Coturnix japonica: one gene and its partners. The protein of the gene in region 1 interacts with the protein of each later gene in a pairwise test. Links are inferred from orthologs where the notes say so. Each region holds a gene or a part of one and is shown in the gene's direction. Other genes may lie near its edges.

Region 1 (3,650 bases):
ATGAAGCCCCTGTTTTACTGGGCTATCTAGGTTCTTATGTCTGTGCAGTGATTTTACTGCATAGGCACATATATAGCATTAAAAAGTCATTCTTCTCCTGTCTGAACTGAATGCTGCTTTGATAAGCATTTTGAATTTCAATCTTAGTCCTGAGCCAAGCAGGAAAAATTCTTCTTGGCCTGAAAATGTTCCTGAACAGCTTCAACAAGCAGGAAGCTTGTTGCATAGGTAGTTGCTTGTGCAAGAATCTCTTCTAATTACAACCTAAGATTCAGAAACAAGAAAATAAAGATTTTTTTTTGTGGTTCTGCTCCTGAGTTGTTGTGTGGCTCCTTGCAGATCATATAGTTGGTGGTTTTTTTTGGTTGTAGAACTGGGGAAGCAGGGACAGGCAGAAAGGTTGGGATTCTGGCTTTTAGTATTTGAAAGGAATTAGGAAATCTTATAGTGAAAGGCAGTACAACCATGTTACATGCGCATGAGAGGAAGGACAGAAATTGTGTATGGCTGTTTGGTATCAAAACCTGGTCTTAGGACTTGGGAAACGTGGTAACAGGAATATTGTGCCTTAGCAGCCTGCGGTGTTTGCTTTAAAACTGTGCAAGGGACTCGGTATTAGGCCAAGCATAAGGCATGCTAGCAAGTGGTGGTACAATTGTTTCAGTGTCACAGGGCCGATCCCAATCCAGTTATTGTTATCACTTGCATTAGTGTTTGCCAGCAAGGTGTGCAGTGCAGGACAGCTTGCCCACACTCACAGAGGAAGCATGCATTGCATCTCACTGGTTCACATGGGGGAGTGGTGTTGATGGGCTGCACCTCATGAGGTTTCTAGGCTGAGTAGGAGTGGTGAAAGTGCAGTGTGTGTATCAGGACTCCTAAAGCTAGATAGAGGAGAGGTTGGAATCTTTTTCAATAGAAATAGTTGTGTGATTGCTAGCTGAGCAGATACAGTCTTCCCTCCTCTTTCCATGCCAGCCCAGATCACGTTGTTAGTTCTACACCCATCTTTGTGTGCCCAAAGAGGAAGCTGGTAGGGATGGCAGACAGGTTTCTAGATCTGACAGGGGAACGTGCTCTTCCTCACTCCCCTTCCACAGTGGCAGGCCAGTGGTGGCTCCTTTAAGCATTATTCTCCTGTGTGTTTTGTGTTGATGACTTCAGTTCTTGCCAGTTATCCAGATGATATTAAAACCAGTTCTCTGGGAAGGCTTTCATCTGGAAAGGAGCGTAAAGATGATAGGAAACTCTAAAATAACACGGAGAGGAGCAAATGTGAGATGAGGAGAGTGAATTGCTTTTTTTGCAGTGCAGTCGTGCAATCCAGTTAGTGAGGAAATCTCAATCACTGATGCTTTTTAGATCTCTAGCAAATATGACAGAGAGGTGATTTGAGAATTTAAAGGTGTAAATTGACTTCCCTGTGGCTTCGGAGAGGTTTTTGGATCCACGTGAATGCGTGGAGGAGCTGACAGCATGGTTCACACAGGGAATGTAGGTCTGTGCGGTGCTCGCGGCAAGTACGTGTCTGAGGCAGTTGGCAATTCCCTCAGTGCCCTCCTGCAGGTCAGCTGGCGTTTGGCTGTTCCCTTCAGTACAGCAACCTACACCTAGACCTCGATGTTAGAAAAAAGCAGTTGGCCTCCATCTACACCAAGGGGGATTGTGGTGAAGCAGAAATTCGAAAGAGCTGCTGCATGTGAAGCTGGGGCGCATGCACAAGATCCGTTCCCTGTACCCACGCTGCCTGCTCCTTCTCTTGGTGTAGATTCTGGCATTCACTGCAGTCTTTGTTGTTTCAGGTTGGAAGTTGAGTCCTGTGGTTGGAGCGGTGTACGGCCCTGAGTTATATGCAGGTAGAGCTTCAGCAGACACTTCCACTTCTGCCATTTAACTGCAGTGGTGTTTGTTTATGTTCTCAATTTGCTGTTTCTTTATAACCTTTTTACGTTTTTGTTTTTGTTTTTTTCATTCTTTTTAAAATTAAATTAGCGTCCAGCTTTCAAGCAGATGTCTCGCTGGGCAATGACGCCGCAGTGCCCCTGTCAGGAAGGGGGGGTATTAACACTTACATTCCTTTAATCAGTAAGTAGCCCCCATTGGCCCCTCTCTTGTTACTGTGCTTGAGTTAACTATGACCTGTTTCCCTTCTTTTCTCCGGTCTGTACGATATATACTTGAAAGGATGGGTCTTGTCGGGAATGAGTTTACCTATAGCCCAAGTATGCTGCGCAGTGGCTGTAACCCGTTCATCTGCAGTTTTTCTGTACTATGAATGGGTTCATCTATGTGACAAGGAGGCTGCAGACCTAGGGGAGGGTGTGTGCAAGGAATAGGCCGTTCCCTTTATTTCCCTCCGCCCCTTGGGAATCAAAGAAACCAAACGGACAGTTCCTAAAGTACATATTAGACAAGCTGTCCAGCTTTGAGTGCACAGGGCCCCTTGGTGTGCACCTGGGTGCACACCAGGTTGGGTTCATGCCTCTCCACTTGTCCCTCTTGGTACCTACTCATGACGTGTCTGCAGATGCCTCTAGGGCTTCACGTCATTCCACGGTGAGCCAGCATCAAGTATAATAACGTTAAATGAAGAGGGGCTCTCAGTAAGCTGGCACTTTATGGGAAGTTTCTGCTGCTGTTATATGGGCTATCTTGTCTTTCAGGCTTTAAAATGAACATACAGAGGATTGGGTGGCAAAGAGTGGGAGGGGAAAGGAGGGAAGAGACTGATGTAAGTTGATTGACTTTAAGGGCCTCTTGACAAATTATTTTAAAGAGCCTCTGCAGTTTTGGAAGAGCCGCCTGCTATATTGATAGTAACTCTCTGCGCTTCTCGGACTCTAACCAGACTGCATGGCGGTGTCAGAGGGGGGGATTTGGACCCTGTTTGTGGTGGGTGAGGCATGCCAATGCATTAACCTCTTGCATGCCAAACCTCTCTGCAACCCCTCCTCCCTGAAAGGCCATGGTGTAGCAGGACGTATGTATACGATGCTTGCTGGGTTAGAAGCATGCCCCTCCGCAGGATTGATGCAAAACATCCCACCGCTGCGGAGCTCTTGTGTCACTTTGTTTGAAGCAGGCGGTTGTTCCCTGGGCAGGAGCTGGGATCCTTTTCACCTTCTCTCTTGTCTGTCTTTACAGTTCCAGGCTTCCCCTATCCAACTGCAGCCACTACAGCAGCCGCATTTCGGGGAGCCCACCTGAGGGGCCGAGGAAGGACGGTTTATGGGGCAGTCCGGGCAGTACCTCCTACAGCCATCCCTGCCTACCCAGGGTAAGCATTGGTCGCAAGAGCAGAGTGCTCTGCACAACCGTGTCAAATAATAAATTGGCTAACAAAAACGTAACTAAAATTGTTGGATGGTGAGAGTCAGGCTATTTGCTTAGCGCCAGAGTGTTCTGCATACGATGGCATCCAATGGGGGCAGTCCTAAATTTTGCTACATTAAGTTCATGCCTGAGAGAATGTTCAGTACTTGCAACAGCCTGAAGTGCTGATGTACTCCTTCTCAGAATTTCTCAATTCATCTTCTGGTATTTGTCATCCATTGACCCAATACATTGCAGCACTACTGAGAAGGACGCAAAGAGGGGTCTAAGATGTCCTAAAAAGTTACAACTCTCTGCACTCGTATTGTGGTTTTCTT
Region 2 (3,650 bases), on another chromosome or scaffold:
TGCACACAGAAATCTGCAGTGGAGTAATAACACAAGGTAAATAATATAATGCATTGATTTAATAAATGGGACACTGAACCATTAAGTTGGAAATTGCAAGGTTTATTTAAAGAGGTGGCTTGTTCTGACTGCAATACTGCAGAGACTGGATATGTTTACAGTTGCCAGAAATAACTTGCAGATGACTTTGTAACTGTATATTGAACCTTGCTGATTCTTTGTATTCAGAGTCTAAATGGAGTTTGGCTTAATAAACAGCGCCTGGATCCTTCAAGAACCTATCCTATAGCAGAAGGAGACCGTATCCAGTTGGGAGTGCCTTTGGAAAACAGAGAGACTGCTGAATTTGAGTATGAAGTAATTAAAGAGGAGTGGGAGAAAATCAAACCCTTTTTAGCCCAAAGGAGTGACCTGGGGAAAGCTAGGACCTCAAGACCTAAACGTAAATTTACTTTGGAAGAATCGGAGACATGTGGATCAGAAGGCCCTTCAAATTCCAGATCCAAAAGGGACAGAGTGTCGTGTGATGGAGAACCTTTGAGTAATACATTGGGAAGAGTAGGAGAGGCAGAACAGTTGACAGACAAGGGGGTTGTCAGGCTGCCCTCTCCTGGATCAAGTGAGGACGATGGTGGTCCAGTGCGTGGTAGCCTTGATTGCTCTGAGAAAGCTGTGGCTGTTGCTCACAAGGACCAGAAACACTCCGCTCTTTCTCAGTCATGGACTGGCCTGGAAAAGCTGAGGAAAAATCTCACAGATATAAAGAAATTAAAAGTCAAAGTGCAGGAGAAACAGACAGCAGTTCTGAATGCGAAGCAGAAGCGCAGGAAGGCTGCTCAGAAGACGATCCTAGCAATGGAAAAGGAACTGCAAGAGTTGCAGGACAAACTGTGCACAGAACAAGTACAGCATCAGCAGCAGGTGGAAGAGCTGGAGAGGACATTCTCCAAAGAGAAGCAGAAGCTAGAGGTATGATGGTGGTAATCATTTCAGTCTGTGTGTTTTGAGATATATATTTTTTTCCAATTACGAAACTAAAACTCTGACCCTCTGTGGGTTACAAAGAGGACACGTTAAAAAGCGTTCACGTTAAATGGGATTTTTTTCTTAGTATACAGCTTTTCTGAATTAATGCTAAATTCACGTGGGGAATTTATTTCCTTTTCAAGCAAGTGCATCATTTTTTGCCTGTCTTAATTCAGAGTCTGAGGAAGGAGGGGTTTTTGTTGTTGATTTTTTTGTTTTGTCTTTATTAGGAGAAAAACAGTCTCTTCTTGCTACCCGCAAGTGCCTTCTAGCACTGTGTGGATGCTGATAACTTGTTTTAGATAGGAAGCTACAAGTCTATCTTTCTGTTTGACTCTACTTGAAATCTGGTTCAAGGGAAGTAAGGATTCGTCTGAGAGTTACTTACCTGATTTATCAGTTACTTCCTTTAAAGTCTGCTGCTGAAAGCAGAATACTGTATCAGAAGTACAGGAGGTTTGGAGTTGTGTGCTTAGGATAAAGGGAAGTTCACCTGAAGCTGTAACTCTGTCTGGCCTATTTAAATGTGTTCAGAGAGAGAGCTTCAACTTTTTCTCATGTGTAAGCTATTGCCAGCTTCCTGGCTTCTGTGAACATTGCAGTGTCTTCAGAGCTAGAGTAACATGGAGTTGTTCCAAGTATGGAACTGTAAGTGATACATTCATTTTAGCACTTCACAGTAAATGGGAGCTGTAATTTCAGTAGTACACTTGAATCTCTACAGTAGGCCTTTTCAGTTTCTGCTGAAAATCAGTTTTGTTGCTTTAATTATATCCTCTAAATGTGCAAAATGGTTCTTTTCATTCCCGTGGTATCTTCAAGTATTTTTTTTTCTTCCTCCAATAATTGCTTTACTGCAAGAATGTCTAGTTTTGGTGTTTGATTTTTTTTTTTTTATTTTTTTTTTCAGGGAGTAAAAGGGCAGGATGGGGAAGAGAATCTGAAGGAGCAGCTGGTCCAGGTTCTGCAAGAGGCAAGTAATTAAATCTACTTGGTCTAAATATGGAACTCATATACTTAAATCTTACTGCTTCCACTCTTGGTGGAAGACTAGGACTGTGTCTAAAGTGCATTTTGAGTGGTCTTTATCTTCTACAGACTAAATTATTGCTAGGAAGAGACAGGCCTCCCTTCTTGAGAGTTGTTATTTATCAGCAGATAACACAAGAATCTGTGCTTTTAGAAAGTGTTAAGTAGTGTAGTGGTTCTACTTGAATCCGGTCCACATACTGGTGGATATTTTTGCTAGGTCTGTCCTCTGGTTATCTGTTTTGGGAAAGCTGCCTTGGTAGTTTTAAACCACAGGAAAAAGGACTAGTTTTGGTTAGGAATGTTTCTGAAAGAGATTGTCAAATGCTTAGTTTTCCTAGGCTTTCTGTCTAAAAGGTTTTAAGGCTAATCCAAAAAGAGATTCAACCAGCCCTTCTGACAGGCTTTTGTGACACTTGTGTGTCAGATACTCCTTGATACTCAAATGTAACAGATGCACTCAAGACAGTGACCAGAAAAGCAAAATGAAATGTAAAGTAAGTTGTAGGTGTTGGGTGAACTTCCTTAACACCTTGGCTTATATAGAGCTGGTGCTCTTACAGGAGAAGAAAGGAGAAATGAGTGTGCTGAACCTCATGATTAGATCCATGTGTATTTAATAGGGTAGCTTATAATAACACTCTTATTTTTGGTATCATGGTATCATTACAGCATCATGCTTTGATGGAAGAACTGAGCCGTAGTAAAAAAGATTTTGAGGAGATAATTCGAGCCAAGAATAAAGAACTGGAGGAAACCAAAGTAAGTAATAAAACTAAGTTCTCCGTAATTGGAATATGATATGCTGTGGCAGAATAAATGATTTAACATTTGCTTTGGCTGTGTGCTGCCTTCTGTGTTGAAAAGCTCTTGTATTTTGGTCTGGCGGCTGATTCACTCTGTATAAGATATACTCTTTGCTCTGTTTGTGGAGTAGTATTGCAGAGTTATTACCAGATACAGAAAGCACAGGACATCTGAATAATGTTGTGCAGGAGAAGCTGACCCATTCTTTTCTTTAAAAGAAAACCAAACAAGGGTATTGGAAAAGTGGGTGCTTCATTTTCAGTTTGCGTGGACTGGAGTGAAACTGCAGCATGTTCCAGCAGTCCAACAAGGGAGCACGGGACTGAGACAACGTAACATTTTAATAACGAATGAGATAAGCCATGTTTCTTCCTGCCTCTGTCAAGATGATGAGTGGAAGATAATTAAAGTGATCTTGTGCTGTGTTCTACACTTGGAAATTATGATGTTTCATTCCTCTGGCTATTTGCTTTGTTTTCTTCTGTCAGCTTTGCAACTGTTGCTTTAAGGATAGTTCTTAGAAGATGTAGCAGATGCCGGAAGCCTAATTTAACCCTAAACAACAAAATATGAAGATTGATCCAGTTTGTAGATTCTTTAGATTGAAGGGGACTTTAACAGTGGCTGTTCTTTCTTGTAAGCACTCTGTTATGGACAGGAATATTCTCAGTACTGCTGTAACTACAAAATGGAGGGAGGTTACAAATCTGGGTACATGGCAAACATGGACTTGACGTGGAAAGGCTTAAAACTGGAAGATTTTGTACTTGTATTACTTTCCTCCACAC
Region 3 (3,650 bases), on another chromosome or scaffold:
GCAGGTTTTGCTTAGCTGTTTAGGTGAACTACTCATTCGCTGCATGGAAACAATGATATGTGACCATGTATCTAAACATACTAGAAAGTAGGCTACAATGAGGTTTATTAACAAATCAAAGCTACAGTTGTTACTACAGTCTCTATTTCTACAACTGATTTTTTCCTATTCCCCTTCCCTTCTAATACCATTACTATATGGAAAGTATTAATGTGCAATATATGAAATTACGATCATCAGAGACTTAGCTCTCTTTTTATTTAGGTATGGTTTCATTACTTTTGAAACTCAAGAAGATGCACAGAAGATACTACAAGAGGTGAGTAATATTCCCCATTATGATTCCCTTATAAATAATTTATTTCATGGGGGACATAAAGTATCTCTGGTTTTCCAACCATTTTCTGTTGGTCTACATGGATTGGTAGGTCTGTTAAGATTGGTCATTCTGTCTTCCTACAGTATAGTTGAAGAAACACTTAGAGAGCTAGAGATCTAAGATAGCTTCTTATGAGGAAAAGCTGAGGGAGATGGGCTTACATGGGTTGGGGAAGAGATGGCTCTGGGGAGACCTCAGTGTGGCCTTACAGTACTTTAAGGGAGTTTAAGCACGAGGTGGACAGTCTTTATACATGATCTGAAAGTGATAGGACAAGGGGGAGTGGCTTTAAACTGGAAGAAGGTAACCTTAAGTTAGGTATTAGGAAGAGGCTTTTTACTAAGAGGGTTTTGAGGCTGCCCAGAGGAGCTGTGGATGCCCCATCTCCAGAGGCATTCAAGGCCACGTTGGATGGGGCCCTGGGCAGCCTGATCTAGTGGTTGGCAGCCCTGCCCATAGCAGGGGATTGGAACTATATGATCTTTAAGGTCCCCTCCAGCCAAGGCCATTCTATTAAGACAAGAAATGCTCTGAATCTAGAGAAGTGAGCTGTCGTCTGATATTAGAATGCTTTACTTTGGCATGTAGTATTTGCTTTCTTACTCTACATGTGCTCCATACAGTCTGTTCTGGTGCATGCTGATTACTCCTTATCCTTCATTTGCTTTACTAGAAGATGCATTGTTAAGATAAGTTGGAGAAGATAACTGCTTTATTTTATTCTGACATATTTGATCATCGGAGCTGTTGTAGCTCTTCTGAGGAATAAATTTATTAGAGGTCTTAAATAGTCAAGTTCATTTAATGTTATATAACAGTTGCTTTTCTACTTACCCAAGTAACCATCTTGATGTTCCCTCTAGAGCCTCCCTTGAGATAGGATTAACTGTTAGGTGTTTATTAGTTTTTCAGCTCCTACTTTAAAATAACAGACATGGGGTGGGGGGGAGAACAGAAAACAGTATCCAAGGCTTGCAAAATATCTTCTGCCAAATATAAGACAAGATAAAATATTGAAGTACTGAGTCTTTGAATATTTACAGGTTAAAATTCATTTAAAAAGAAATCTTGGGTATTTTCAAAACAAATATGTGGAGCTTGAGTACGCAGACGGGAATGCTGTTTCTTTGTGGTTTTTTTCCCCTTTTTCTCATGGGTTTTATTGTTTTATTTCTGTGAAATAGAAGAATACAGGGGGTATCATTGTGAATGTGGTCCAGAATGTTTGCCTGCACTGTAACTGAAAGGCTGTTCCATGTCAAGTCTTAGTAGTATCCCACTGTATGAGACTGATACCTTTTTGTCTGCAGGACATGTTTTATTTCAAACATCCTGCTATTATGTTGTATTTTTCTTCTGCATCGCACAGCCTCGTTTATCTTTAGGTTAGTTATGATCTAAGCCTTATTTGGGCTATTTCAGTAGATAGTTTCCCAGTTTTAATAGTTTATTATAGCATAAATTATTTATTTTATACTATTGAATTTCTTGTTTATAAATGTCCTACTTCTTGATCATCAATAACATCTTCAGAGTTTTTTTCATAGTGTTTTTCATTCCTCAAAAGTGTTAAATTGCATCTCAAGAACTGGCTGTGTGGGATTTCTTTAGGGTCCTCTTTCCAGTCACGTACTGCTACATCTAATGCTACCTCTTCCCATTTTTCTTACTTTATAGTCACAGCTTCTCCTATTAATCTTTCCTTGTAGCATCACATGTAATTTTTCATGCAGTGCCATATCGAATGCTTTGAAGAAATCTGCACTGATTAGATATATATTTAACTGTGTAAGTCGTATTTAAAAAGGCAGCGTGAATTCTGATGGATCACAGGAATGGAGTATGTTGAGAAGAGTCACCCTGTGTTGTCTGTGGAGGAATGTGGTTGGAGTGAAACTGACAGTAGTTTTTGGGAGGGGAAATTGCTCAGTTTTCAATAGGATTAGTTGGTGTATTTGCAGTAGAGAAATTACACCTGACGCTGAAAACTTTGTGGCATAGTAGGGTAGCAGTTAGGGCTAAGTGGGAATCAGAAGACTGTATAATTTGTTGGTTCTTTGCACACTTTTTTAAGGTATTCTGCTATTAGGACATCTTTTGATTTTTATTTATTTTGTCATTTGTTAGCATGGATGTAAGGAAGGTAACACGGGTTTAAGGCAGTCCCAAGGTCTCACATAAAATTTAAGCTTTTTATTACGTTCAGTCCTTATACTCTGGTCCTTCTTGTAGACTTGTTCTTATAAGTTGCTTTATAAAAACAAGGCTGTAATTATGAAAAAAATAAGTTTATACTTGAAATTGTCCATTTCTAAATATGTTTACTTTTTATTCTAGTAGTAGAAACATGCCTGTATGAGCAGAAGGGTAGAACAAACAAAAAACTGAGAATTAAAGGTAGCTGTTAGTCAGGAGGCTCTATGATGAGTAAGGAATACTTGAGATAAGTAATGGTGGCTTTTATGTATGTGTAGTCTAAGATCAGGTTAAAGAAGAAGCTAATGTGGTTCTTGTTTTGTCAATATGTGTTCTAAATAAGAAGCAGTGTCTCTGGTTTTTGTTGTTGTTTTAAATGCCTTGATCTATGTAAAAAAAACCTAATACTGAGTACTTTTTTTTTTTTTTAAATTCTAGGCTAAAAAACTTAATTACAAGGATAAGAAGTTGAATATTGGTCCTGCAATAAGAAAACAACAAACACGGATTCCCCGTATGTATATTCACTTGCACTTGTCTATTATATATGTCATTGCACATCTCATTTTTAACCAAGATGTGCCTGATCATGTGTTGTTTTAATGCTATAAAGAGAACACAGAATAAATGTGTACCAGTGGATAAATCCAGATTTGGCAAGTCCAGGATTGATCTTCAGAACTTTTTTCTCCTCCTTAGTGTATTGTTTGCTCTCTTGGGATGATGATTTATGTAGGAGCAAGGGGAATGGAATCTTATCATAGTTACATGGCAGAACCTCAGTTCTAAACACTGTCCTCACAAATTGTTCAGCAGACTTTCCTGGTTCTGTGTGTTATTACTAGTTAGTAGCAAAATCCCTCAGAACCATGGCATCTTGCTTTGTTCAGTAGAAACTATAATGAGCGGGTATTTGTTGTCTCCACTAAATTCTTAGGTTTCTGTCCTTTAAAATAAAGGCAGAGTTGCTAAAGGTTCCTTTTCTGGCAAAGAACTGCTTAAACTGAAAGCATACATGAGAGAACTATTGGTCAGGTGGCCAACTATTGGTTTGTTACTTTGGTCAAGTATGCTG

Evidence for each region.
Region 2: the proteins of RBFOX2 (region 1) and RNF8 interact in binary tests that used the Homo sapiens proteins (3 or more experiments, as listed by UniProt). The two-hybrid records come from large-scale screens. The link is inferred for Coturnix japonica from reciprocal best matches to the Homo sapiens genes RBFOX2 and RNF8.
Region 3: the proteins of RBFOX2 (region 1) and BOLL interact in binary tests that used the Homo sapiens proteins (3 or more experiments, as listed by UniProt). The two-hybrid records come from large-scale screens. The link is inferred for Coturnix japonica from reciprocal best matches to the Homo sapiens genes RBFOX2 and BOLL.

Annotation. Positions count from the first base shown.
Region 1 is NC_029516.1:47,483,333-47,486,982, forward strand, and holds part of RBFOX2 (RNA binding protein fox-1 homolog 2), read left to right. Parts: intron 1-1,802; coding exon 1,803-1,856; intron 1,857-1,992; coding exon 1,993-2,085; intron 2,086-2,663; exon of another isoform or gene 2,664-2,731; intron 2,732-3,144; coding exon 3,145-3,277; intron 3,278-3,650. UniProt on the Homo sapiens protein: RNA-binding protein that regulates alternative splicing events by binding to 5'-UGCAUGU-3' elements. Prevents binding of U2AF2 to the 3'-splice site.
Region 2 is NC_029518.1:27,120,450-27,124,099, reverse strand, and holds part of RNF8 (E3 ubiquitin-protein ligase RNF8), read left to right. Parts: intron 1-228; coding exon 229-969; intron 970-1,936; coding exon 1,937-1,999; intron 2,000-2,727; coding exon 2,728-2,817; intron 2,818-3,650. UniProt on the Homo sapiens protein: E3 ubiquitin-protein ligase that plays a key role in DNA damage signaling via 2 distinct roles: by mediating the 'Lys-63'-linked ubiquitination of histones H2A and H2AX and promoting the recruitment of DNA repair proteins at double-strand breaks (DSBs) sites, and by catalyzing 'Lys-48'-linked ubiquitination to remove target proteins from DNA damage sites.
Region 3 is NC_029522.1:8,896,116-8,899,765, reverse strand, and holds part of BOLL (protein boule-like), read left to right. Parts: intron 1-264; coding exon 265-319; intron 320-3,013; coding exon 3,014-3,089; intron 3,090-3,650. UniProt on the Homo sapiens protein: Probable RNA-binding protein, which may be required during spermatogenesis. May act by binding to the 3'-UTR of mRNAs and regulating their translation.